3 linked regions of the Nothobranchius furzeri genome follow. The protein of the gene in region 2 purifies or fractionates together with the protein of the main gene of each other region. This does not show direct contact. Links are inferred from orthologs where the notes say so. Each region holds a gene or a part of one and is shown on either strand. Other genes may lie near its edges.

What was found. Proteins that work in one complex are often made in the same cells at the same time.
Region 1: the proteins of prpf4bb (region 2) and pnn purify together in Homo sapiens (affinity purification with mass spectrometry; 5 studies listed by BioGRID and IntAct, counting the BioPlex papers as one, with this or other methods). This does not show direct contact. The link is inferred for Nothobranchius furzeri from reciprocal best matches to the Homo sapiens genes PRP4K and PNN.
Region 3: the proteins of prpf4bb (region 2) and zc3h18 purify together in Homo sapiens (co-immunoprecipitation; 4 studies listed by BioGRID and IntAct, counting the BioPlex papers as one, with this or other methods). This does not show direct contact. The link is inferred for Nothobranchius furzeri from reciprocal best matches to the Homo sapiens genes PRP4K and ZC3H18.

The regions. Positions count from the first base shown.
Region 1 is NC_091758.1:40,472,859-40,480,601, forward strand, and holds the end of pnn (pinin), read left to right. Parts: coding exon 1-19; intron 20-389; coding exon 390-465; intron 466-581; coding exon 582-676; intron 677-804; coding exon 805-880; intron 881-991; coding exon 992-1,147; intron 1,148-3,054; coding exon 3,055-3,193; intron 3,194-3,272; coding exon 3,273-4,495; 3' UTR 4,496-4,816; downstream 4,817-7,743. Other genes in the region: gemin2 (gem-associated protein 2), read right to left, coding at 6,242-6,281, 6,380-6,438, 6,522-6,632. UniProt on the Homo sapiens protein: Transcriptional activator binding to the E-box 1 core sequence of the E-cadherin promoter gene; the core-binding sequence is 5'CAGGTG-3'. Capable of reversing CTBP1-mediated transcription repression.
Region 2 is NC_091747.1:44,850,809-44,858,804, reverse strand, and holds the end of prpf4bb (pre-mRNA processing factor 4Bb), read right to left. Parts: intron 7,908-7,996; coding exon 6,781-7,907; intron 6,574-6,780; coding exon 6,400-6,573; intron 6,299-6,399; coding exon 6,140-6,298; intron 6,032-6,139; coding exon 5,950-6,031; intron 5,876-5,949; coding exon 5,674-5,875; intron 5,083-5,673; coding exon 5,009-5,082; intron 4,883-5,008; coding exon 4,792-4,882; intron 4,713-4,791; coding exon 4,565-4,712; intron 4,483-4,564; coding exon 4,345-4,482; intron 4,266-4,344; coding exon 4,112-4,265; intron 4,025-4,111; coding exon 3,910-4,024; intron 3,838-3,909; coding exon 3,686-3,837; intron 3,615-3,685; coding exon 3,528-3,614; intron 3,440-3,527; coding exon 3,236-3,439; 3' UTR 3,016-3,235; downstream 1-3,015. UniProt on the Homo sapiens protein: Serine/threonine kinase involved in spliceosomal assembly as well as mitosis and signaling regulation. Connects chromatin mediated regulation of transcription and pre-mRNA splicing.
Region 3 is NC_091744.1:81,982,096-81,989,680, reverse strand, and holds part of zc3h18 (zinc finger CCCH domain-containing protein 18), read left to right. Parts: intron 1-1,594; coding exon 1,595-1,743; intron 1,744-1,857; coding exon 1,858-1,953; intron 1,954-3,848; coding exon 3,849-3,991; intron 3,992-4,609; coding exon 4,610-4,639; intron 4,640-6,043; coding exon 6,044-6,158; intron 6,159-6,471; coding exon 6,472-6,731; intron 6,732-7,585.

The DNA of each region.
Region 1 (7,743 bases), on a different chromosome or scaffold from region 2:
TTCAAGGAGCCCTGTTGAGGTGAGATCTTTAAAATTTTTTTTAACTTTAAATAAATAAATAAATTCACCAGTTTGTGTGGAAAGTTCCTGCAAGATTGCCACATTTGGATCAGAGTGACCACGGTTTGTTTTTTGTATTTTACTACACATCTGTTTTACTGTGTTTTCTTTATGCTATGTTCAGCACCTTGGGTCTGCTTGATTGGGGGTAGGAAAGGGCTTTATAAATAAACTTGAAAGTCATCTGTTGCATGATTTTTTTTTTTAATGTAGCACAAGCATCACCTGCTGTTGTTGAAACCCTTTGACTTTTGGAGGCGTGCTGCTGATTTTGAAGCAGTCGGATGCTTTTTAAGTTCATTCAGATTGTTTTATTTTTGTGTTTGCAGGCTGGCAGGAGATCAGAGGGCCAGGAGAGACGCGCGTCACGACAGCGACGCCGAGGATGATGACGATGTCAAAAAAGTAGGGCTGGGTGTCTTATTCCTCTATTTATATGTGCAGAACTCCATTAATTAGTTTCATTTATTTATGAAAGCATAATTTGTTTGCCTTTTTCACAATTGTACGTCGTCTTTTAGCCGGCGTTGCAGTCGTCAGTTGTAGCTACCTCCAAGGAGCGAACACGCCGAGATCTCATCCAGGATCAGACTATGGATGAAAAGGGCAAACAGAGGTAGGCCAACACCGTTCTTCAGCTCTAGATTTGCACCCAGGCCTTTTAAACCCTTTTTATAGAATATTAATCTTTTAAGTAGATAACCATGTAAGGAAAATTTAGAGAAATTGAAACATCCTTCTCAGGAATCGGCGTATGTTTGGCCTGCTGATGGGAACGCTGCAGAAATTCAAGCAGGAATCAAACGAGTCTTCAGATAAGGTGAGGGTGCTCCTGAGGTGGCCGAGGTCAGCCTGGATCATGTTGTTTTGGAGGGTTGTTGGTTTTTTTCTTCTTCCTGCTTATCGCTGACATCATCTGTTCACGGTGCAGCTGAAGAGACGCTCCGAGATCGAGCAGAAGCTCGAGGTTCAAGCTGAGGCTGAGAAAAAGAAGGTGGAGAACGAAAAGAGAGAACTGTTTGAAGAGAGGAGAGCCAAGCAGACTGAGCTGAGACTGCTGGAACAGAAAGTGGAATTGGCTCAGCTGGTGAGAAAATATTTTGCGTGCGTTTCTCAGGGTTTTTCCTGCGTTCAAATTTGCGTGGCGGCCGCCTCCAGCTAATTTGGTGCCGCCCCAGCCTGATTTCACTCTGCCCCCAGCTATATGGATGTTATTTTAACTGCAGTTGCACCACTACAGGGGTGCTGTATCCGCAGCGGTGCACCGAAAAGCACTAAAACCGCTGCTGACAAAGATCAAAAATTGTTTTTCTCGCTAGTTGGTACAGATCTGTGGTTGGTGCTATTCACGTCCTGATTCCCCCCCAGGCTCTTCCATATCAGAGCAGGGCTGTACAGGGGTGTCTGTGCGTGTCTGTCTATTTTTAAACGTAGCACTGGTGCAACATCTTTGAATTTCTATTTTCCCCTGAAACTTTATTGAACAAAAGTTACGTGTAAGAAAAATGCTTTTTACTGGCGCACAGTGTGGAAATCTGGATGCAGGGGAGGAAAATAAAGGAACCAGCAAAGGCAGAACCGGTCCAAAGTTTGGGATCAAAAGTGCAGCTACACGCAGATTGGCTAACGCTAAAGCTAACGGGTAGCAGTCTCACGATCAAGTGGCGCACGGATAAATATATGATGATGTAAAACTAAGAGACTAAACTCTACAAGCGGATGAAAAGTCCCCACCATCCTGTTTATTCTGCATCCTGCAGCGCTACGGATCAGAACCGCTGTAGATACGAGTCACATTACTGCTACAAGCCTACGGCAGGCCGTTGTAGTATATAATTCAGAAACGCTTCTATCTTTGAACATAATTTAATCTGGATTATTGCCAAGTCCCGTACATAATAGACATGCCACCGTTACATTGTTAGCAGCAGAAATTAAATGTTATTACCATTTCCAGCACAGATGCATGTTAATGAAATGCATTGTATTTTAATGCATATATTTATGTGTTATTATGACTAAGATGAGTGTTATTAATACAAACCTAAAATGTTACTTAAATGTAGGTCAAATATTTAAAATTATTTTAACTGTAAATATCAGATGGGGAAAAGGAACTAAACACTAATTAATGCATATTATTGAGCCTTTCATAATAAGAGTGTTATTTCAGCCTGATCATTTTGTTTTATTTCATATTTTTTAGCAGCAAACCTGTTTTGTTTCACTTGAAACGTCAAACGGAATATTCTGTTAACAGAAGCTTAGATTAAAACACTTAACGAAAAAATATTTGGCCTTTAATAAAAGTGAGGCAGTTGAATGCAGAGTATGCATGTGTTGGTGCACGGTCAGGATGGTAGTCAGGAAAAGCCCTGTTTCTGCTCTCCAGCGCTCACATATTTAAAAAATGGTTAAAACTTAAAGCCAATACTGCACGATATTAGGTAAACCTGTGATATTCGGTAATGATTAATATTGCGATGACGATATTACTTGCGATAAATAAAAACTTAACTCGCGAACAAAAATAATCAAAAACAAAGAAATTTTTAAAAAATCATAAAAATTAGAAAAGTAAAAGATGAGGAAAGGGAAAAAGAAAATGAAGAAAAGACGGTGGATCCCGGGAAAAGCAGAAAGAGGCAAAGCTAACTCGGGTGTTTCCTAACCATCAACATGAAGTGCCGTCCGCCTCGGGGGCGGGCATCCGACCAATGAGAACCCACCTGATTGGCCAAATGGGTGAAGAGCTCTATTTGTGTTGTTAAAAAAAAAAACATAATGCTTTCATTTGATTGACAGAACGCATCATGTGTAGCAAACATTTGAGCTGACCGTTCATTGCGATATGTATATTGTGCATGCTGATATCGCGATAACGATATATTTACGATATATTGTGCAACCCTAATCAATACGGTGCTTTGGAAACATCTGGAACAACAGACGGTTTCTGGTGGTGTTAAATAAGTTTTCTTGTGTCTCAAACAGCAAGAGGAGTGGACCAGCCACAACAATCGCCTGCTGAAATACATCCGCACAAAGACCAAGCCTCACCTCTTCTTCCTGCCTGGGAAAATGTGCTCGGCCACTCAGAAACTCCTCGAGGAATCCACCAAGAAACTAAATGGTCAGCTGGGTTTGGTGTTTTTGCCAACTATTCCAAACGAGTCCCTGCCACTAACGCCTGAGCTTTTCTCTCCAATCAGCTGTTTTTGAGGAGAGGCGTGAGGCATTTGCCGAACACCTCAACAAGATGGAGTCACGCCCCCGGCGACAGCCGAACCGCGAGCAGGACGCCAACATTGCTACAAGGACGGAGCGCCCAGCGGAGGGTAAGCCAGCAGGTCAGGTAGACAAGCGGACAGGTAAAAGGGGTGAAAAGGGAATGGACGAAGATGAGGACGAAGAGGAAGAGGTAGAGGTAGAGAAGGATGAGAGTAAAAAGACAACAGAGGGAGAAGGAACTAGCAATGTAAATGAAGAAGAGAAAGAAGTTTTAAAGAAAATAGAAGAAGATGAGGAGGAAGAGATGGAGGTAAGTCAGGAGGGGAAAGAGGAGAAAAAGGGGGAGCAAAAGGGGGAGGAAGGGGATGAGGAGAAGGAAGAAAAGGAGACAAGTCCACAGTCAGAAGAGATGGAGGTGGAGGAAAAGGCAGAGAAAGATGTGGTTGAGGAGAAAGAGGTAGAAACAGTCAGTCAGCAGCGGCTCGCGGAGCTCCAAGATGAAAAGACTCCAGGTGTGCAGATATCTGAAACAGCTGAGAGCAGCCAGGAAGCACCAGACCGCAGCGATGGGCTTGCTGCAGGAGAACCAGCCGTTCAGTCCCGGGGCACAGAGGCGGCTTCTCCGGCCCAAGAACCACAGGTGGCCTCCACTCCTCCTGTCCAGAATCCCACCACTCCTGGGTCCAACGACCAGGAGCCCACCAACGAGAGCCAGACAGTCGAAAGAGAGTCGGGGGAGGAAGCCCCACAAAAGCTGCCAGATTCTCAGGAGGCCTCTGGAGCCCTTCCTGTTGTCACTCCTGTGAAGGAGGGTGAGAAGGACGGCAGAGGGAGGAAGAAGGAAAAGGAGCAGAAGAAACGCCGCAGTCAAAGCAACAGCTCCTCGTCCTCTTCTGGATCCTCCTCCAGTGGAAGTTCCTCTTCTTCTTCCTCAGGATCCAGCCACTCCTCATCGTCCTCGTCCTCTTCTTCCTCGTCATCAAGCAGCCGCAGCCGAGACGGCGGCAAGCGGAAGCGTCGGCCATCGGATAGAGGTAGAAATGCAAAGAAAGGAGATGAGAGAAGTCACCATAAAAAAGGCGGGAGTAGTGGAGGTGGGAGGGACGTGAAGGAGAGGAGGAAGAGGAGCGATGAGGGGAAGGGTAGGTCTTCCCGGAGTGATAGGGAGCATAAAGATGGAGACAGGAAGGCCAAGAGACACTGATTTAAGCTTCTGGAACAACAAAACTGCAGCTGAGACGGGAGATTACATTTTAATCACATTTCTTTTAAGTAAACGACTTTTCCTCTCGATGTTGGAAGTTTTGAATGAAGCGACTCGTTGGATGTAGTTGGTCAAAGCCAAGCGGATTTCCCTAATGAGCAGTGGGTGTTTTACGTTGTAATGTGGATTGTTGCTGCACCTAAAATGTGATTTCTAACGGGAGTCTCTAGTGAACGAGTCCGAGCTTGTTTTTAAATCCGGGTTTCTTTACTTTTGTTTTAAGTCTGATTGTCCAGCATTAAGAGTGTTGATGCATAGAAACGGTCGTCTGGTTAAAAATGGTTCGTGCTGATCAGCTGTTTACCAGTCTGGTTCATGTCTGATGTGATCTGTTCAAATGTTTTGATTTGACTTTTATTTTTTATCCTGTAATCTGCTTCAAATAAACTTGAGGTATTGGCATAAATGTGTTTCCTTGTTCTGGTTGGACTTTCGGTTTTAAAATGTTAAATTAGTCGACAGATTAAATTTAAAATGTATGTTTTCACCAGAGATGGGAATAACGGCGTTACTTAAAAGTAGTTTTTTTCAGTAACGAGTCATTAATTATCATCTTTTATCATAACGCTGTTTCCGTTACTGTTGAGAAAATGCGTGCGCTGCTGATTCAGCAGCGCGGCGGTGAAGCCGACATCAGCTGATTGAGATCTAAAGAGGTGGCTGTTTTCATCCAAGAGCATCATGGCTCGTGAAGAACGAGGAATGTGACAGCGGGACGTCCCGAAGGTCCGCTCACCTGCTCAGACGTCCTGATCTTCTACCTTCCTAGATCATCCAGCTGTAACCTGTTTCTGATCACGTCTTTAGTCCCGCTGTAACACTGATGCATCAGTCTGAGACGTCATGGAGCTCAGGTGTTATCAGAGCTACCTGTGTGTGTTTACCACCCAGCTTCAGCTCTTCTGTGGTTGGGTCTGACCCACGTTAGTAAATGTAAGTCCTCCATCAGGCTTGTGCCTCTTCTAGTGTCATTTTAAAGGATTTTTATTTAACCATTACTAATTAGCAGCAGCAGAAATGTTGCTAAAAATACGCAATTATGTTAAGCTGGAAAAATTAAAATACTGTGCAAAATTACATTTCTGTAATTTAACTAGACTGAGAGACCATGTAAAGGCTCAGGAACCTTTACAGGTGCTTCTATTTGCAATTATAAATGTTAGCTGATTAGGGTCTTGTTAAATATCGCAGTGATGTTTTAGTAGTCTGGATTAGTGTAATGTTCCTGTTTGTCGTTCCTCCTGTTAAGTGCTTAATTATTGTTTTATAGAAAACATTTTATGTTCCAGTCATTTATATTTCATTATTGTTGAAATTTATAGTAAATGAAGTTTAAGAGGGGAACCCATTTCTCTTGCATTCTTTAATGAAAAAAGGTAATGAAAGTTATTTTTGTTGGTAATTAGTTACTTTTATAATTTTTTAACTCAGTAAGTAACTTAGTTACTTTTTTGACAAAATAATTACTTTTTAAAAGTGACGTTCCCAACACAACACTGGTTTTCACTAGTTCCATGTTTCCTGCCATTCAGGATGCTTGTAAAACCACAAAAGCAAACCAAGAATAAGAATCATAAATTTAATCCACAAATACGAAGTTTCAGCTTTACAAAAATATCACACACACACTTCCTCATACGAGTCTTGCTGCCACGAGCCACATCCCCTGGTGGTTCGGCTTCGTGTTTACTCCGGCTGGTCTGCCAGATCACTCTGCTCAAAGTATCTGCAGGAAAAACGAGAGGTGGTGAGTCGCAGGATTTCAGGCTCTAACTTCAGCTGCATTGTTGATTTTATGGGTAATGTAGACATTATTGGAGTCACCTAGCAACCAGACAGATGAGTAGGTTGAGAGCAGGCAGATTCTCATTCTCCTGACAATCCTGTTGGAAGAATTTAATCATTACAGACGTCACAATAAAATACGCCGTCAGAATCCTGAAGGACACTCGGGTTTCCATCATACCAGAGTGCTGCGGAGCTGGGCGCACCGTCTAGCCAGCTGTCGGATGGAGGAGTGCGCTTCAGGCAGCAACGGTTTCTCTAAGCAGGCCAGTAAAGCGTACAACCAACAACCCTTTTGGGAAAAGCAGCGTTAGGAATTTCATAATCAGGAAAACCAGGAACCTCATTCATCAAACGTCGACAGAATCTCCTGTATTCCGTCCTAAGAATGATATTTGAAATGTTGGTTCACACGGACAATCTCCTGATTTATGAAGCACGGCCATACTCGTGTTCCCTGGCAACCCACTGTGGAGAAATCCCACGTGAATGGCCTGCAATTGACATAGCACCTTCTAGAGTTTTACAACCCCCCAAGGTGCTTTACAACACAACAGACATTCACTCGTGCACAGAAACATTCACACACTGATGGTGATGAGCTACATTGTAGCTACAGCTGCCCTGGGTCACACAGACAGAGGCAAGGCTGCCGTACGCTGGCGCCACTGGTGTCTCCATCACCACCCCACCCAGGTGCCCGTGTGTTCATTCACATACAGAAACGCCCTCAGTTAACCATATTTGGTCACAAGAACGAGCAACAAGTAACTTTAACGAGAGTGAGGACCAAACGTTGCTGTTAGGAACGCGTAGATAAGTAATACCTTCGGTTTTGTGATTTCTCGGTCCTGTTTGTACACAAGAACAGAGACGTTCTTGTACTTAGGAACATTTTTATGTCGCGTAGATAATCTACATACTAGAATTTAACGCGGTTTGCTATCAGCTTGGCTAAATGCTGAGAAAAATCAAACAAATTAGCAAATGAAACTTATGTATAAATATCCAGGATATTTATATAATCGATAGAAGTTCATACACCAACGGGCTTGGTCTATATTTAATCCAAAGATTAATATTTAATTTAAGAGATTTAAATTAATAGCAAAAGTTTATTTATTAAATCGGAATATTTAAAGGAATCTTTGCTCGTTCAATAACCAAATTTACACCATTCTGTGTTTCATTTCAAAGAAGAGTCAGGTTTAAAAAGTTAAGAATTTATAACGAACAATTTAAAGATGACAATTTATAACAGCTTTGATATTAAAACTTGGTATTAAAAGCAAACCTGTGTCTGGATGAAAGCTAAAATGAAATGCGTGTGTTGGATGTGTGACTGGAATCTCAGAAGGTTTCTTTCAGAGAGAAACGCGTTCTGGGTGAAAGAGTTTGTTTTG
Region 2 (7,996 bases):
GCGCTCGGGAACTATTTGGTGGTTTAACCCCCCAATCCAACCCCTTAATGCTGAGTGTCAAGCAGGGAGGCATTGGGTCCCATTATTTCAAAATCTTTGGTATGACCCGACCAGGAATTGAACCCCTGATCTCCCACTCTAAGATGTTAGACGTCACCTTTGTGGAAAATCAAACACACACCAGCACAACGGTGGACGTGTTACGAAGCGGGCCTGCTTTGCTCAGACTCAGCCATGAACCTGTCTGCAAACCAAAGTATTAAATAATCAATGTGGGATCATCTGAGGCTTTTGTCACATAAAAAACTATTGCAGAAAGAAAAACAATAATTACTGCAACATTTTATAAAAAAATAAAATTCAGCAAACATCAACTGAATAAAGTTTGCAGAAATGTCTTACAGAAGAAAATTACTTTGATTTGCCAAAAGTTGTCATATGAGCTCTTTTTCACAAAATACATACACTTTACAATGAGGGCCCCTCATTAACGATACTTGGTGCATTAGTAAGCATTAATTACCTAGTATTAACAACTGCTCAACCATATTAAGTAATGTATTACTTAGCAGACACCTCTTTTGGCCTCTTGTCCTAACCTTAAAGACACTTAATTGTTAACAATACCAGGAACGTTAATAAAGGGAACCTTTGTTTATTAATGCTTAATAATGCACTAAGTAACACGAATAAAGGGGGACTCTTTGTAAAATGTTACCAATACATTTAACTCACTAACATATCAAATCTGTTGCAAATGTGATATGAAATCCTTAATTAAATGTAAAAGTAAATACCTTGACACTGGTTCGGGGTTTGAATATTTCTAACGCACAGATAAAGTTTTTAGATGCCTCTATCGCCCTCTAGTGATCATTTTACGGTGATACCCCCAGCTGGTAGCAGAGCACCAGCCTGACCTCTTGCTCTCATGAATCTGAAGGCCATAAATGACTTGTTTGGTTACATATTCAGATTAAAGGCAGCCATGTCCTCATCTCTTCATGTTGAGATTAAAGCCAGCATGCTTTAGCGTGCCAGATGATTCTCACTGACACCTTCACCGGTGGTTATCCCACTACAGCCTACATGTCTTTACAAACCCCTTGAGGTTGACAGCCCATCAGCTCCGATCAGAAGCCTTATTACCAAACTCTGCTCCACTCAAGCACAGGGAGCTCTTGCATCACTCTTCTGCTTTCAAATGGGAGAAAAATAGGAGTTTTTTTCTAAACGAGACTCCCATTATGCTTTTCAGGAGCTCAACACAAGTGCAATCATGTAATGGAGCGAAGCACCAGAGTGGGAAATAGTGAAAATGGAGATTTCACTTTTGATGCTGCAAAGTTCTTGCAGCCTTGATCCTTTTTACTGTGAGTACGAACCCTCATCAAACATGTTTTCATCTTTATGCACTTATTGAAGCGGAAGTCTGATTTTTCTGTTTTCACACAAACTGTAACATTTGGTAACTACTTCTTATGATGAAACTTACCCATTGAAATCTATAGGATTTTGGTGAAACAGGGGGGTAAACCCCGCCCCCTTTTGGAGCTCTTTTCATTTCATAATGGAAAATATTGATCAAAGTTGTGGGCCTCTACATGACACGAACTGGTATTTTTCACTTATACCGTCAGTTTGAATTTGATGGGTTTTGATCAGAACGTTCGCAGCTGATTGTTTCAACTTTTGCAAACTCTTCTTACCCCTGCAACATTTTCAGTAAATGCAAATACTTCAAAATGTCGACATTTTTATCTCCTTTCACCACCGTGTCCCTTACTGCTATTGGACTTTGTCATTGTCTTCTTCTGGTCCCAGAGCACTGAGAGTTTTCACCCAAACTTCAATTGACCTTAATGTGTGCATCAAAGCATTTTAAATGATTATTTCTGATTATAATCAATTTTCATACAGGCTGAACATGAAAATAGTCTCCTACACCTATCTGCTGCATTAGCTTCTGACAGAAAATAGACGGTGACACTCTGACTTGAAAAGCCTGACAGCATGACTGTGTGAACACTCATGGACTCACCCATCTTGACTCAACGATGGAAGGCTGTTGTTGGTTAAGCATCCAGGAAAAAGCAGATAACATTTCGACTAGTAGAAGCTAACCATTAGCATTAGCAACTCCACCACACAGCAGAACTCCTCCAGGGTTGTTATTTGTGGGGATAAAACATCCATGTTGCAAAATAAAGCCTACTACTACCAGAGGCAATTTATTTTGATCTGTCTTCTGCAAACTTGATGTAGTTTACACATTCTGTTCTCTATTAAATTATGATTCTTAGAATTTCGGCATTAGGAATCATTAAAAAGCTTTTCTTTCTCTGTGTTTTATTCAATAAGACCGATCAGGGAATATTGTTCATTATGAGGTCTGAAAGAAAAACAAGCAAACAGCTGTTTGTTTACAGTAGGAAACAATTTATTACTAAAAAGCTGTTTTATACTGAAGGTGCTCTTTCAGTAGCGTTTCCACAACTATTGTTTATTGTAATCCACAAGATTGGTTTTACCACATCATGTAAAGAAAAAAAAACATACGTGAAGGAAAGCGACTTTAGACTGTATGTACACAACATTAGAGGAGAGTCACGGGTGTGGCATCGTTTGGTGTTTAACACACCAAGCTCAAACAGGAGGCACTTAAATCTGAGAGCCTTTAGAGCCAGAGAATTGGACGAGGGGTTAAAAAATGAAAAAAAAAAAAAAAACAATAATTCTACCAGTTTTAAAAATCTTAATCAGAAATGCACGTTTTTCTTTCAGATCAGGTTGTGACTGCAGTTATGGAGCTTCAACACAGGGCTGCACCACATTCAAAAGCATGCATCATCCCACTATGAGCAATGTGGTCAGAAAAAAATGCTGCACTCTGACCTTTCCTCGTCTGCTGCTTGATTTAGTTGATGCAACAGACTCGTCAGTATTTACAGGAATCATAGTTTCTTTTAATCACTCCAGTGCCATTTAAATTAAAAAGTAACTGCATTTGATGGTATGAGGGGAAGTATACAATGAAAAACAAAATCAAAGCGTGTAACTCAGAATGGCTACTATCTCAATGATCTATTTACAATAAAACACAATAAAGAATCCATTAGAGTCCTGCTGAAAGAACAAAACTGGGTGAGATTCTGAAACAAGAGTTCAGAGGTTTGCTGCTTCGCTCCAGAGCTGGTTTAGTGGTCGCTGCTGTCCTGTCCGCTCTGGGAGGGTCTCAGATCTTCTCCTGTATAAAGGGGTGCTGCAGAGCCTGGTTTATGCTGATGCGTTTAGCCGGGTCCAGCATCAGCGTGCCCTCCAGCAGGTCCTTCAGCTGCATCACCTTCTTCCTCTGGTCCTCGGGCAGCCGCTGGCCGCCGATGAGTTCAGACAGCAGGTCTTTGGTGGGGTTGATGGTGCTCATTACCGTCACCTTTTCCTGGTGAACCAAAAAAAAAAAAAAAAAGTCAAAGTTAATAAAAAATCACTTTAATATCAGGGAAACAGAATTTAGAAGACCTTCTCACCCTTTCAGTCACTTTGTCTACTTCAATGTAGAGGAAATTCAAGTTCTGGTCGAAGTGCTGGTCTTTGAACAAACCTTTACGAATCATCTGAAGAAACACGACAGGAAGTTGCATCACGCGCTGAACAGCAAACACGATGTGAAATGATGCGAGCTTACCTTGTTGGGCATCTTGCCCTTCAGGTCCATCGCCAGCTTCAGCATGTGATTGTTGGAAGATCCGGGGAGCAGGATCTTCCCGGTGTACAGCTCATACAACGTGCACCCCACCGACCACATGTCGATCCCGTAGTCGTAAAGCTTTCCTATGACTGAGGGAAACACGCTCGGAGTGAAGCTCAGGCGAAACAGAAACCGAACAAAAGGAGAAAATTTAAACTTACTGATTTCTGGAGCTCTGTAAAATCTACTGACAAGATACGGTGTGATGTCATTATCAGCCACATGTGAGGCTGAGCCAAAGTCACAAAGCTTCAGAATGGTTTTAGACTCGTTCACCTTGAAAGAGGACCAAACATAATGATGTTAAACACACGCGGCTGTTGTTCTGAGCACTCTGGAAGGTTGACTTGTGTTAGACCGCACCAGGATGTTGTCTGGCTTGATGTCAGCGTGGAGGATGTTGCATCGCTTCAGCAGCTTGAGCGCCAAGAAGAGCTGCTGGCTGTAGGAACGCACAGCTTTGATGTGGAGTCCAACGTCTTTACCGTACTTCTTCAGCACCTCTCGCAGATTCATACTACGGGTGAGACGGGCAGGTGGTCATCAGATAAAAGCTGCGGTGAGAGATGTAAACAAAGACGGTTTCTCCTGGGTACCTGAGCGGCTCAAACACCAGACAGAGATGCTGCTTGTGGTAGAAGTGTCGGAAGAGGCGAAGGCAGTGGAACTTATCGTCAGGATCGGCATCGTTTAGCTTCCGGAGAAATTCTAACTCCTTCAATCCCGTCTTCTGCCTGTTTACCACAAACATGAGCGTTAGAGAATTAACAAGATCTGACAAACATTTATACAGGCCGTGTGGATGGCTGGACCCACATGAGCTCGTTGTTTCGGATGATCTTGACTGCCACCTCCTGGCCGGCTCTGGCCGTGTCTCTGGCTCGGATCACGTTACTGAACACACCCTGCCCCGTGTAGCCGTACACGTCGTAGCGCTTATCTAAAGTCTCGCCGATGTTTACTCCTGAACAACAACACAAACAAACCACAGGGTTACTATGGGAGTAGAATGTAAAGCACTGGAACCACCAGGGAGGATTTACTGTAGTATCCTTCTGCATCGGTCCAGTTGTCCCTGAGGTTTGGGTTCTCCTTGAAGTCCTTTCCCACGCCGGCTGCTCGCATCCTGGCACTCTGCAGAGGCAACAGAAAAAAAGGACATGTTCCTTATCGTCCAGTGTTTCAATCGCACCCTTTTGGGTTAATTAACATTATAATAGAACAAAATAGCACCAGGATGCCACACGGGTCCTTACTTACATCAAAATGAGCAGCAAACATGTCGTCTGACTCCGTAAACATGTCGGGGGCCGAGGGCTTCTTTGGGTTGGCTCCTGGAAAAAAACAACAAACAGCAACCAGAGAGACAGGATGAGATCCGGGGCTCACACACGTCATCCTAGAACAGTAAATCTGGAACATGTGTTTGATTCACATACTGTGCAGAGATCAAAACATGCTGCAGGAGGCAGACACAACCAGGCTTTGGAATACAAGCCAGCAACTGAATGAACACATGACAGAAGAAAAAACAAAATTATAACCCCTGCATGACAAAAGTGCATTTCTCACACAGTCCTCTACTTCAACGCCGCTCTGGTGTCACAGGCTGCAGGGAAATGAACTCATTTATTGTTCATTCAGCGATCGGATGAAACTTGATCTGCTCTGGTGGCCGGAAAAAATAATCTGGAAATTTTCAGATTGAAGGTAAAATTTGTGGTTGATAAAAGGAGAGGAGCCCATCTGGAGCTTTGAGCTGAACACAGATGCACGTGCTCATCAGCGGCAGCTGTGGTGACTCGTGTCACGGTCTATAAACAGAACCGTTTGTAGCTGCGTCCTTGCTCGCTTACAGGTGACGGCGCGGTTCATTCAGTTGGCCTTGTATGCCAACAGGACTCGTTATTTAACGGGGACGTTACCGTCTTTCTCCTGGGCGATGAGGTTGTGCTTGGCTTTGATGCTAGCCTCGAAGGTGTTGACGTTCTCGCGTTCATACTCCTTCACATCTGCGGCCACTCGCTCCAGGATGTCGTCGGGCGAAGGAGAGCGGCTCCGCGTGCTGCTCTGAGGGCTGCTGGGCTCCGACACCATGTTGGTGTCTTCGTTCAGGACCTTGTATTTCTGGGTTAGGGAGGAAAGGTTCAGAGAGGGGACTCCATCTTTATCTGTGGTTGTAACCAAGATGGAGACCAGACCTGGACGATAGCCATGCGCTGCTGGCGCCGCTGCTCGATGAGGGCTTCTTCATCTATCTCCTCACCTTCAAAGTCCTCCAACCTGAAAAGAGCCAAAGTCACGGAAGAGAAATGATATCTGGTCTGGATGAAAACATTCACACAGCTTTTATAAGTGATAAAATATCTGATTTGATCGCTTTTTACGCACACGTCTTCTTCTGAGGACTCCTGGTCCACCTTCATCCCTTCCGACAGGCTGCCCTTAAACTTATCTTCATCTCTGCTGCGCCTCCTCCTCCTCTCCCGGTCACGAGACGTGGAGCGTCGGTACTGGCGGAGCCGACCGTACCGGTCTCTCTCTCCTGATCTGTAAGTCGTTCATTTCAACGCGGATGAATAATCTCATCAGAACACTAAAGATTATGTCATCAGTTCCAGTCTAAAGCCACATAACAGCGTCACCATCACCTGTGTCTGAGCAGAGACCGGCTTCGTCTGCGGGGGGAGGAGCGGGAGCGTCGCCGTGGTGATGGGGACCTCCTCCTCAGAGGGGAGCGACTGACACGGCGGCGAATGGCGGGCCTAGGACTCCTTTCCCGAGACCGGTCTCTGGCGGGCCCAGCGTCAGGTCGAGGCCGCTTCCTGCAGGATCAGAGGAGAACTCTTTCATCCAATGTCGTCAGAATATTTATTTTGTGTCTTCCTCACTTTTTAATTTGTATTTTAACGACTCGTTTCAACACAGATTGGTCCCACGAAGCAGTATTCTGACCCTAGGCATTAAACCGAACACAAATGCTTTGTGGGTAAACAGATAACCACCTAACGATGAAGCAGCGAGTGACGAACCTGAGGGGTGAGTCCTGCCTGTCTGACTCCCTCCTCCTGAGGTCCGGTGAGCGGCTGCGGCCCCTTCTGGGGGGAGACTTGGTTCTGGACGGAGAGTGGTTCTGTTTTGACGTCCGCTCGGAGGCGCCAGTCGACACATGGCGACTGTCTCGGTGACGAGGAGAAGCACTGCGTTTCCGTGGAGGGCTGTGAGGCCCTCGTCTGTGAGGGGAGCGGTTCTCTTTCCCCAGCGAGGCGTCCTTAGACGGAGACTTGGCGACCCGTTTGTCCCGATCTGCATCTGAGCGGCTTGGCCGTTCTCGTACTGGTGACCTGGACCGTCGACTTGCTCTGTCCTGGTTTGGCCTGTCATCTCGCTGTGGAGAGGAACGCTTATCAACACGATCGGCTTTCTTCTCGTTCTTTAAGTTGGAAGGAGAACTAGACTTCCGTCTCTCCTTGGGCCGATCAGTGCTGCCCGAGCGTTTTTTGTCCTTAGACCTGCTCCTGCCACGCCCTCTGTCCTTAACGCCCGCGTCCTTACTGCTTTTGGTCCCTTTGTCCTGCTTAGACTCCTTGGCGGGTTTCTCTGCAGACTTGCTACGACGCTTGGAGCTGGACTTACTGACCTCTGTTGAGTCTCGCCTCGATTTCCCACTTTTCCCCCCTCTTGGAGAGATGGGTTTACCTGAGCTGCCCCTCAGACGCTGCTCTCCATTCCTGAACCTGGCGTCTCCATCCTCTTCAGACCCAGAGTTGTAGCCCTGAAGAATCAAACCCATGCCAGACTGAACCTTGCCCTCCATCAGCTGACTGTCCAGTTCAGCTTTAATCATGGCCCTCTGTTTCTCCAGGTCCTCCAGCACGGCCCTGTCATCCAGACTGGGATTCCCAGAAGAGGGAGACGACTCCACCTTCTTGTGGGTGGAGGAACCAAAGAGGGCGGCAGCAGACGGGGAGGTGTCCTCTTTGCGTTTGTGTTTCCTGTGTTTATGACGATGCTTTCGCTTACGGTCCTTGTCTTCATCAGATACATGTTTGTGTTTTTTGTGCTTGCTGCGATGCTTGTGTTTTTTCCTCTTGCGTTTACCACTACCGCTGTGATGTTTGGACCCTTCATCGACCTTCTCAGTATTTACAGCTTCCTCCTGGAACAAAAAAAAAAGAATATTTTAGATGTCATTCTGAATTATTTATAAGTAAATTTAAATCAGTAGAGTAAAGAATGTTTTAGTTA
Region 3 (7,585 bases), on a different chromosome or scaffold from region 2:
ATAGGTGTATTGTACAAAGGTACGTTTCTCCTGTGTTCTGGGTGTAACTCGCCCATCGAGCCCAGAGCACTTCCTTTCTGAAAGCACCGTAAAGCCTTCACACTAACGGGTCTTTGTGAAACACGTCAAATCATGATGACCCAATCAGACCTCAGATCAGATTCTGTCGTGGCGTCATTTTTCCCATTGGCCTGTTTTCACTCTGCTTCCTCTTTTCCACAGTTCTCCTTTGACACAACAGGCGTACTATTTGTGTCACAAAGTCTGCTGCTTCACAAACTTCTGTTATTAATGATGGTGAGGAACCCAGTCAGAGCGTTGCTGCAGAACCCGATCAGAGCACCAGTACAGAACCTGGTCAGAGCGCCGCTGCAGAACCTGATCAGGCCACCGATACAGAACCTGGTCAGAGCGCCAGTGCAGAACTCAGTCAGAGCACTGCTGCAGAACCCGATCAGAGCACCAGTACAGAACCTGGTCAGATCGCCGCTGCAGACCAGAACCCTGCCAGAGCGCCGCTGCAGAACCCGATCGGAGCACCAGTACAGAACCTGGTCAGAGTGCTGCTGCAGAACCTGATCAGACCACCGATACAGAACCTGGTCAGAGCGCCAGTGCAGAACTCAGTCAGAGCACTGCTGCAGAACCCGATCAGAGCACCAATACAGAACCTAATCAGAGCACTGCTGCAGAACCCGATCAGAGCACCAGTACAGAACCTGGTCAGAGCGCTGCTGCAGAACCTGATCAGACCACCAATACAGAACCTAATCAGAGCACCAGTACAGAACCTGGTCAGAGCGCCGCTGCAGACCAGAACCCTGCCAGAGCGCCGCTGCAGAACCCGATCGGAGCACCAGTACAGAACCCAGTCAGAGCCCTGGTGCAGAACCCGGTCAGAGCACCGGTGCAGAACCCGGTCAGGACACTGGTGCAGAACCCGGTCAGGACACCGGTGCACGGTGCAGAACCCGGTCAGGACACCGGTGCAGAACCTGGTCAGAACACTGGTGCAGAACCTGGTCAGAGCACCAGTGCAGAACTCAGTCAGAGCACTGCTGCAGAACCCGATCAGAGCACCAGTGCAGAACCTGGTCAGAGCGCTGCTGCAGAACCCGGTCAGAGCACTGCTGCAGAGCAGAAACTGGTCAGAGCACTAGTACAGAACCCGGTCAGAGCGCTGCTGCAGAGTGAACCCGGTCAGAGCACCGCTGCAGAACCCGGTCAGAGCACTGGTGCAGAACCCGGTCAGAACACCAGTGCAGAACCCGGTCAGAACACCAGTGCAGAACCTGGTCAGAGCACCGCTGCAGAACCCGGTCAGAGCACTGCTGCGGAACCCGATCAGAGCACCAGTGCAGAACCTGGTCAGAGCGCTGCTGCAGACCAGAACCCAGTCAGAGCATCTGTGCAGAACCTGGTCAGAGCGCTGCTGCAGACCAGTTTTTATGCAAACATTTTTAGTTTTATTAGAAAGTTAAAGATTGTATGAAGATTTCCGGTTTTCTGCTTGCCTATGGACAAGTTTGGGTTGATCCTCCGGTCTCATGCAGCTCTCTCACCTGGAGTATGCTTTTATTCCGTCTCTTCTCAGGAAACTGTACCTGGGGTATGAACTGCAGGTTCATCCATCCCGGAGTCAACGACAAAGGAAACTATTCTCTCATCACTAAGCCGGACCCTTTTTCACCCAATGGAGCGCCCCCTGGTGGACCGCACCCTCTCCTCCCCAACAACCCCTGGGTGAGTCTTGCTGGAGTGACTCATCATGAATGTCATCTGTAATATCAACAAGGGGCTGGGTTCCCTTGTTTATCTGAAACCTGAAAACCATAAATGTCTGTTTCCGTGTCGTAGACGGCCCCCGCGGTGGAGGAACTCCCTCCACCTCCTCCCCCTGTGGAACCTCCTGTGGAGAGCGCCTGGGAACGAGGGCTGAGGCACGCTAAAGAGGTGAACTCTCTCTCTGTTCTCCATGCAAATCAAACTGGGACGACGCTCTCCCAGTTTGATTAAACTGCTGTTAAAATGTTTATTCAGTCACGCATTCACACCAGATGGAAATAGGCCTGGAAACGCTGCATTTGCAAGTTTATTGTGCCGTCACCTTTTCCGTTCAGCTGTCCAGGACATGTTCCCTACCCCGGTTAGCTGATGTTTGTTTATGAAAACCTTTTTATCGACATCTAAAAACTCTCGTGTTTTATGAGACAAATGAGAAGCATTAATTCTGCAGCTGCCTGTTCTTTAGTTACTAAAGCTGGCACAGTGACTCCATGTTTATAACGGTTGTGCCTCATTTATGAAGCTTTTAGATCTTTAATGTTACTGTGCCTCACCAGGCTTTTATTTGTTTAAAAAAATTCTCATTTCATTTGCAATCAGTTTCCCAACCCCTCCCAAAGATGTCTCATTTCCCCACTCACAGAAGCTAAACTGAACGAGCCTGATGAGCAGAACTCACAGATTTCCCCTGTGACCTTCATCAAGCTTGGTTTATGCTTGACGCATTCACTTTCCGCTTGGTGATGCGGCTCGCGGCTGGAACGCGCTTCACAACTCGCAGCGTTTATGGTTCATGCGGCCGGCTTGTCTCTGCGGTGAGCCAATATTCTCCCAAACTGTAGGGGGCAGCATGGAGCTCTACGGCATGCATCCAACACTACACCATAGTAGAAGTAGAAATTACTGTTTACAACATGGCATTCCAGCATTTTTAACAGCGTCCTCGTCTTTTCCGACAGCGCGAGCTATTTCTCTCCAGGAATTATTAACAACATGTTGATCACGGTGATCTCTGAGAGCTGAAGCATACAAATGTCTGTATTTACGAACCTCTGCCATACTAGTTCTTGCCGGTCCGCCATGTTTTTCCGCGTCCGACCGTCCGCGTGGTTAGAAAATTTCCTAGGTGCGCGTTGCGGAAATTTTGGGCCGTGCGGAGGCGTGGTTGTTAAGATGACGCAAAATGACGCAACTTTTCCGCGCGGACATCGCGAATGCGTAGCATAAACCATCCTTTATTATCATCAAACCACTTGTAGATCCTTGTAAAGCCGGGCGTACACTGTGCGACTTTTTCACTTTTTTGAGCCGATTTTCCACTCGTGCGAGAATCCACGAGATCTGGGCGAGTTTTGCGCTGAGCGTCGTGTAGTGTACAGGGGGTTACGAGAGGCGATTAACACCACTTGACCAGCTACCGATCAGCAATCGTGAGCTTGCACGGACTTCTGGCGTGTTTGATGTTTTGCTCGTCCCTCGTGAGGGTATCGCACTGTTGAAGCAGTGCTGTGAGCAGCTGCGACCCAAAAAGTACCAGAACCGCTCACGGCGCATGCGTAATCATGCTTCATCACCGCTCGCCCGCTATTTCCCTAATAACACACGTTGTTCGTTTTTATTTCTAAATGTTTTTTTACTCACAAAGATTGTCAAGAAAGCGTGTTTGTCGTGTTCGTGTCAAATTAAACTGATCACAAAACACAGATTTATTTTATTTTTTTGTTTTCCTCATCCAACCCCCATAAATCCCTGTGTGTCCTCCTGCAGCACTCCCGAAGGACAACAGGCAAGACAAAAAAGTCTCACGTGTTGTGTAAATACGGCTATTTTTAGCATATTTTTAGGTCCGACGTGTTGCTACCAGACGTAGAGTGTGAGCAGTCAGGTCGCATCCGAGAACTGGGTCGTACAGTGTGAGCGCATGACTCGTGAGATCTGCCCTGCCAGGAAGTCGTACAGTTTGAGCTGAAGCTGAGTGCTACGAGTGAAAAAGTCGCACAGTGTCCGCCCAGCTTAAAAAGACTCATCTGTGTTTAAGACTGTTTCGTTTCTGTTGCTGTCAGATGCTGAAGAAGGCGACCATCCGAAAGGAGCAGGAGCCAGACTTTGAGGAGAAACGGTTTAATGTGACGATTGGAGAGGACGAGCGAGAGTTTGACAAAGAGAACGAGTTCTTCAGAGAGCGAAGCTACCGCATCATCAGAGAGTAAGACCCGTTTACCATCACAATATTTACTCCGTCTGGGTCGGAATCCATTTGTAATGTGATTACTTGACATTTGGACTAGGGATGCAACGATACCACTTTTTTTCCAAACCGATACAATACCGATACTTGGATCTGAATGCTTGCCGATACCGATTACTGATACCTATACTTCTACCACACAAAAAAATGCAATGATTTGGAATACAGATTTTATTTTCTTCTCTGCTTTCAACAGGAAAAGACTGTGAGGTGGATAAAAAGTAAAATATATTAATAGAAATCATCACAAAACTAAAATATTAGGTGAACAAAAATGACAAATTACAGTGAAGCCATTTTCAAGCAAGCTGCATTGGTATTGGTTCCTGGTATCGGTTAACTTTTACCGATACCGATACCAGTATCGTATTGGTATCTGCACAGATACCGATACCAGTATCGGTATCTGTGCATCCCTAATTTGGACCAGCCTGGAATATTTCTGTTTTGGTCGTGGTTCTGAGTCGGCTTCGTAAAAAGTGGGCACGGGTCATGTTTCCCTTAGAGAAAAAACACTTTTCCTAATTAATAATAAATACCAATACTTATTCAACTTATTTTGTTTTTCTCTTTCAGTGAAGTGGACTTCAGAGATCCTCTCTATGGGTATGAGTAAATATAACTTTAACCTGAGTTCTATAGACCATCTGTGTTATGGGATGTTCATTTTAGGGTTGGGTGATTTGTACGCTTTTTCCCACCAACAATCCTACGTCCTGTAAATGACGATGGCCGATTTATTTGTGCATGTGACTCTTTGAGCAACGTCATGATGCACGGACCGATATAGGAACACGGTAGAAGTACAAACACTGATTTTTTTTTGTTTATAGAAGCACAGCAAATATGTTTGCTGGAAGAGAAAGTCTGATTTTTCTTTTTGTTTAATTTTGTATTTGTAGTTTGGTAGTGACGTATTAACGGCTCGTGTTAAGCACAGTTCAAGTGTTAAAAAGAAGCCTCATCTTCGTTTCCCTGTGGTGCCCATCATAGTGGTATTTTATTTAAGCAAAGGTTTTTGTTTTGTTTTTTTGAGCAAAAGCTACTGGTTTGATGGCATCACTTTCGTGAAGCGCATTTGTAGTCCTGGACTTATTTTCACACAAAACCTAAAATGGCATTACCCCCTGTTTTGAAAATAAGCGTGTTCTTGGTATCAAAATGTGTCTTTAAGATTCACGGACATCATATGTGAAATCCATGGCACAAAACAAGCGGAATTAGAAAATAGTAGGGCTGCAGGATATTAGGAAAACCTGCGATATTCGATAACAGTGATTAATATTGCGGTGACGATATTACTTGCGATAAATAAAAACTTAACTCGGGAACAAAAATAATCAAAAACAAAGAAATAAAAAAATCATAAAAATGAGAAATGCAAAAGATGTGAGGAAAGGGGAAAAGAAATTGAACAAGAAAAGGCGATCAGTGGGTCCTGGGAAAAGCAGAATCAGCAGAAAGAGCTAAACAAAGCTAACTCAGGTGTTTGCTAACCATCAAAATGTAGTGCCGTCTGCCTCGGGGGCGGGCATCTAACCAATGAGAACCCACCCGATTGGCCAAATAGGTGAAGAGCTCTGTTTGATTTGTTTAAAAAAAATCATGCTCCCGTTTGATTGACAGAATGCATTACGTGTAGCAAACATTTGAGCTGGCCATTCATTGCGATAGTTATCTGTTCTTTGCGATATGCATATTGTGCATGCTGATATCGCGATAATGATATATTCACGATATATTGTGCAACCCTAGAAAATAGCGTTTTTTACCCTGTTGGCTTGCATTCATTTTTTCGTTCTTCCGGGGACCAGTGATGCGGAAGTTACTTAGGCTACCTATAAGGTCGTGGTTCTGGAAGGATCCAATAAAAATGGGATTTTTGCTTTAGTTTTTTCAATAATTTAAATATTTTTAAAGTTTTGATGTTTAGTTTTTGTTTTGGTCATGAAAACAAATGTAACTTTTCTTTATTTTAGAGTCGTTCTGAACCATGTTTCTCCTCTCTAGTGACGCCTACGCTGACCCGTACTACGACTATGAAATGGAGGCCTTGTGGCGGGGGGGTCAGTATGAGAACTTCCGGGTTCAGTACACAGAAGCTCCTCTTCCCTACCACTTCGCTGTGAGTTTCCCGAATAAAAGCCGAAGCCGCCCAACTCATAAATAAATCCTCATATTGTTTTTATTTGTCATTTCACGTGATAAAATGACATTTTCTGTTTCATGTGTCTTAATTGCTGTCTGCGGAAAACTCAGCATCCCTTTTTTTGTAGTTAATGTTGTGAAAAAATATTGTTTGAAATAAATCATGTGTAGCAGCAGGAGGCGTGTCAGATATCATCTACGTAGAAAGCGACTTCCAGCTGTAAACTTTAAACAGATTTGAGGCAAAAATGTCTTTTTTCGTCATTTTTCACTGTTGACTTAATCTGCAGGAGCGAGAACGTGAGCTTCGAGAGCGCCATCGAGATCGCGAGCGAGAACGAGATCACCGTGAGAGGGAGCGGCGGCAGCGTGAGAGGGAGAGAGAACGGGAGCGTGACAAGGAGAGGCTGAAACGGAAAGAAGAGTGGGAGAGGGATCGGCTGAAGCGGGACGAGAAGGAGAGGCCAAGAATCCGTCCTCCTCGAGAAGCCAGGGAGAAGAAGGAAGAGGAAAAGCTGAAACCACGTTCACCCCCCAACCTTCCTCCAAAGTGAGTTACTGTTCCCCAGAGCGATCCTTCGTCACGATTCAGTTCATCACTACAGATGTTTGATTCCACAATAGTGTTGTCACGGTGTGAAAATTTAACCTCACGGTTATTGTGACCAAAATTATCACGGTTTTCGGTATTATCGCTGTATTTTTTTTAAACGTGTTACATTTTCAGACAACTAAATAAACCCTGTATATCAGGGAATGTCCTCAGTTTGTGTCTAAATTTTGCCTAAAATTTGTTATTTTATAATTATGTTGTTTATTTGTTTACATTTTCCCCTTTAGTTTTTAAAATACCAATATTTGCCCATAACTTCTTATTTGTTGTCTGTTTGATGTCATCGTTTTAAAAAATATTAGATCAGATGATACTCAGTACTCAAGTAGCCTTCTAATCAGATACTTTTTTTTTACCCTTACTTGAGTAATAATCCCTATAGAGCTCCGGACCCCACGTGACTCTCAGTTAGTAGACACCATATTGGCAGGCAAAAAAGGTAAACAAACACGGATCGTAAACATGAACATGAACGGGATCAGCTTGGATTTTACTTCGTCTGAGTTTACTTCACACTTTAAAACCGAAGAAATCATTTTATATAGTCAGAAATTAAATAGACTAAACATCTCCGACCCTTACCGTGCCCCTGGGATACTTTTTAAAAACGCCAGAAGCTGTCGGAGCGGACTTCTTACCGGACCTGGCCGGGGAACCCCCTGGGATTTCCCCGGAGGAGCTGGCCCAAGTGGCTGGGGAGAGGGAAGTCTCGACGCTACTGCCACCGTAACCCGACTCCGAATAAGCAGATGAAAATGGATGGACAAATAACAGATTTACATGTAAGTAGT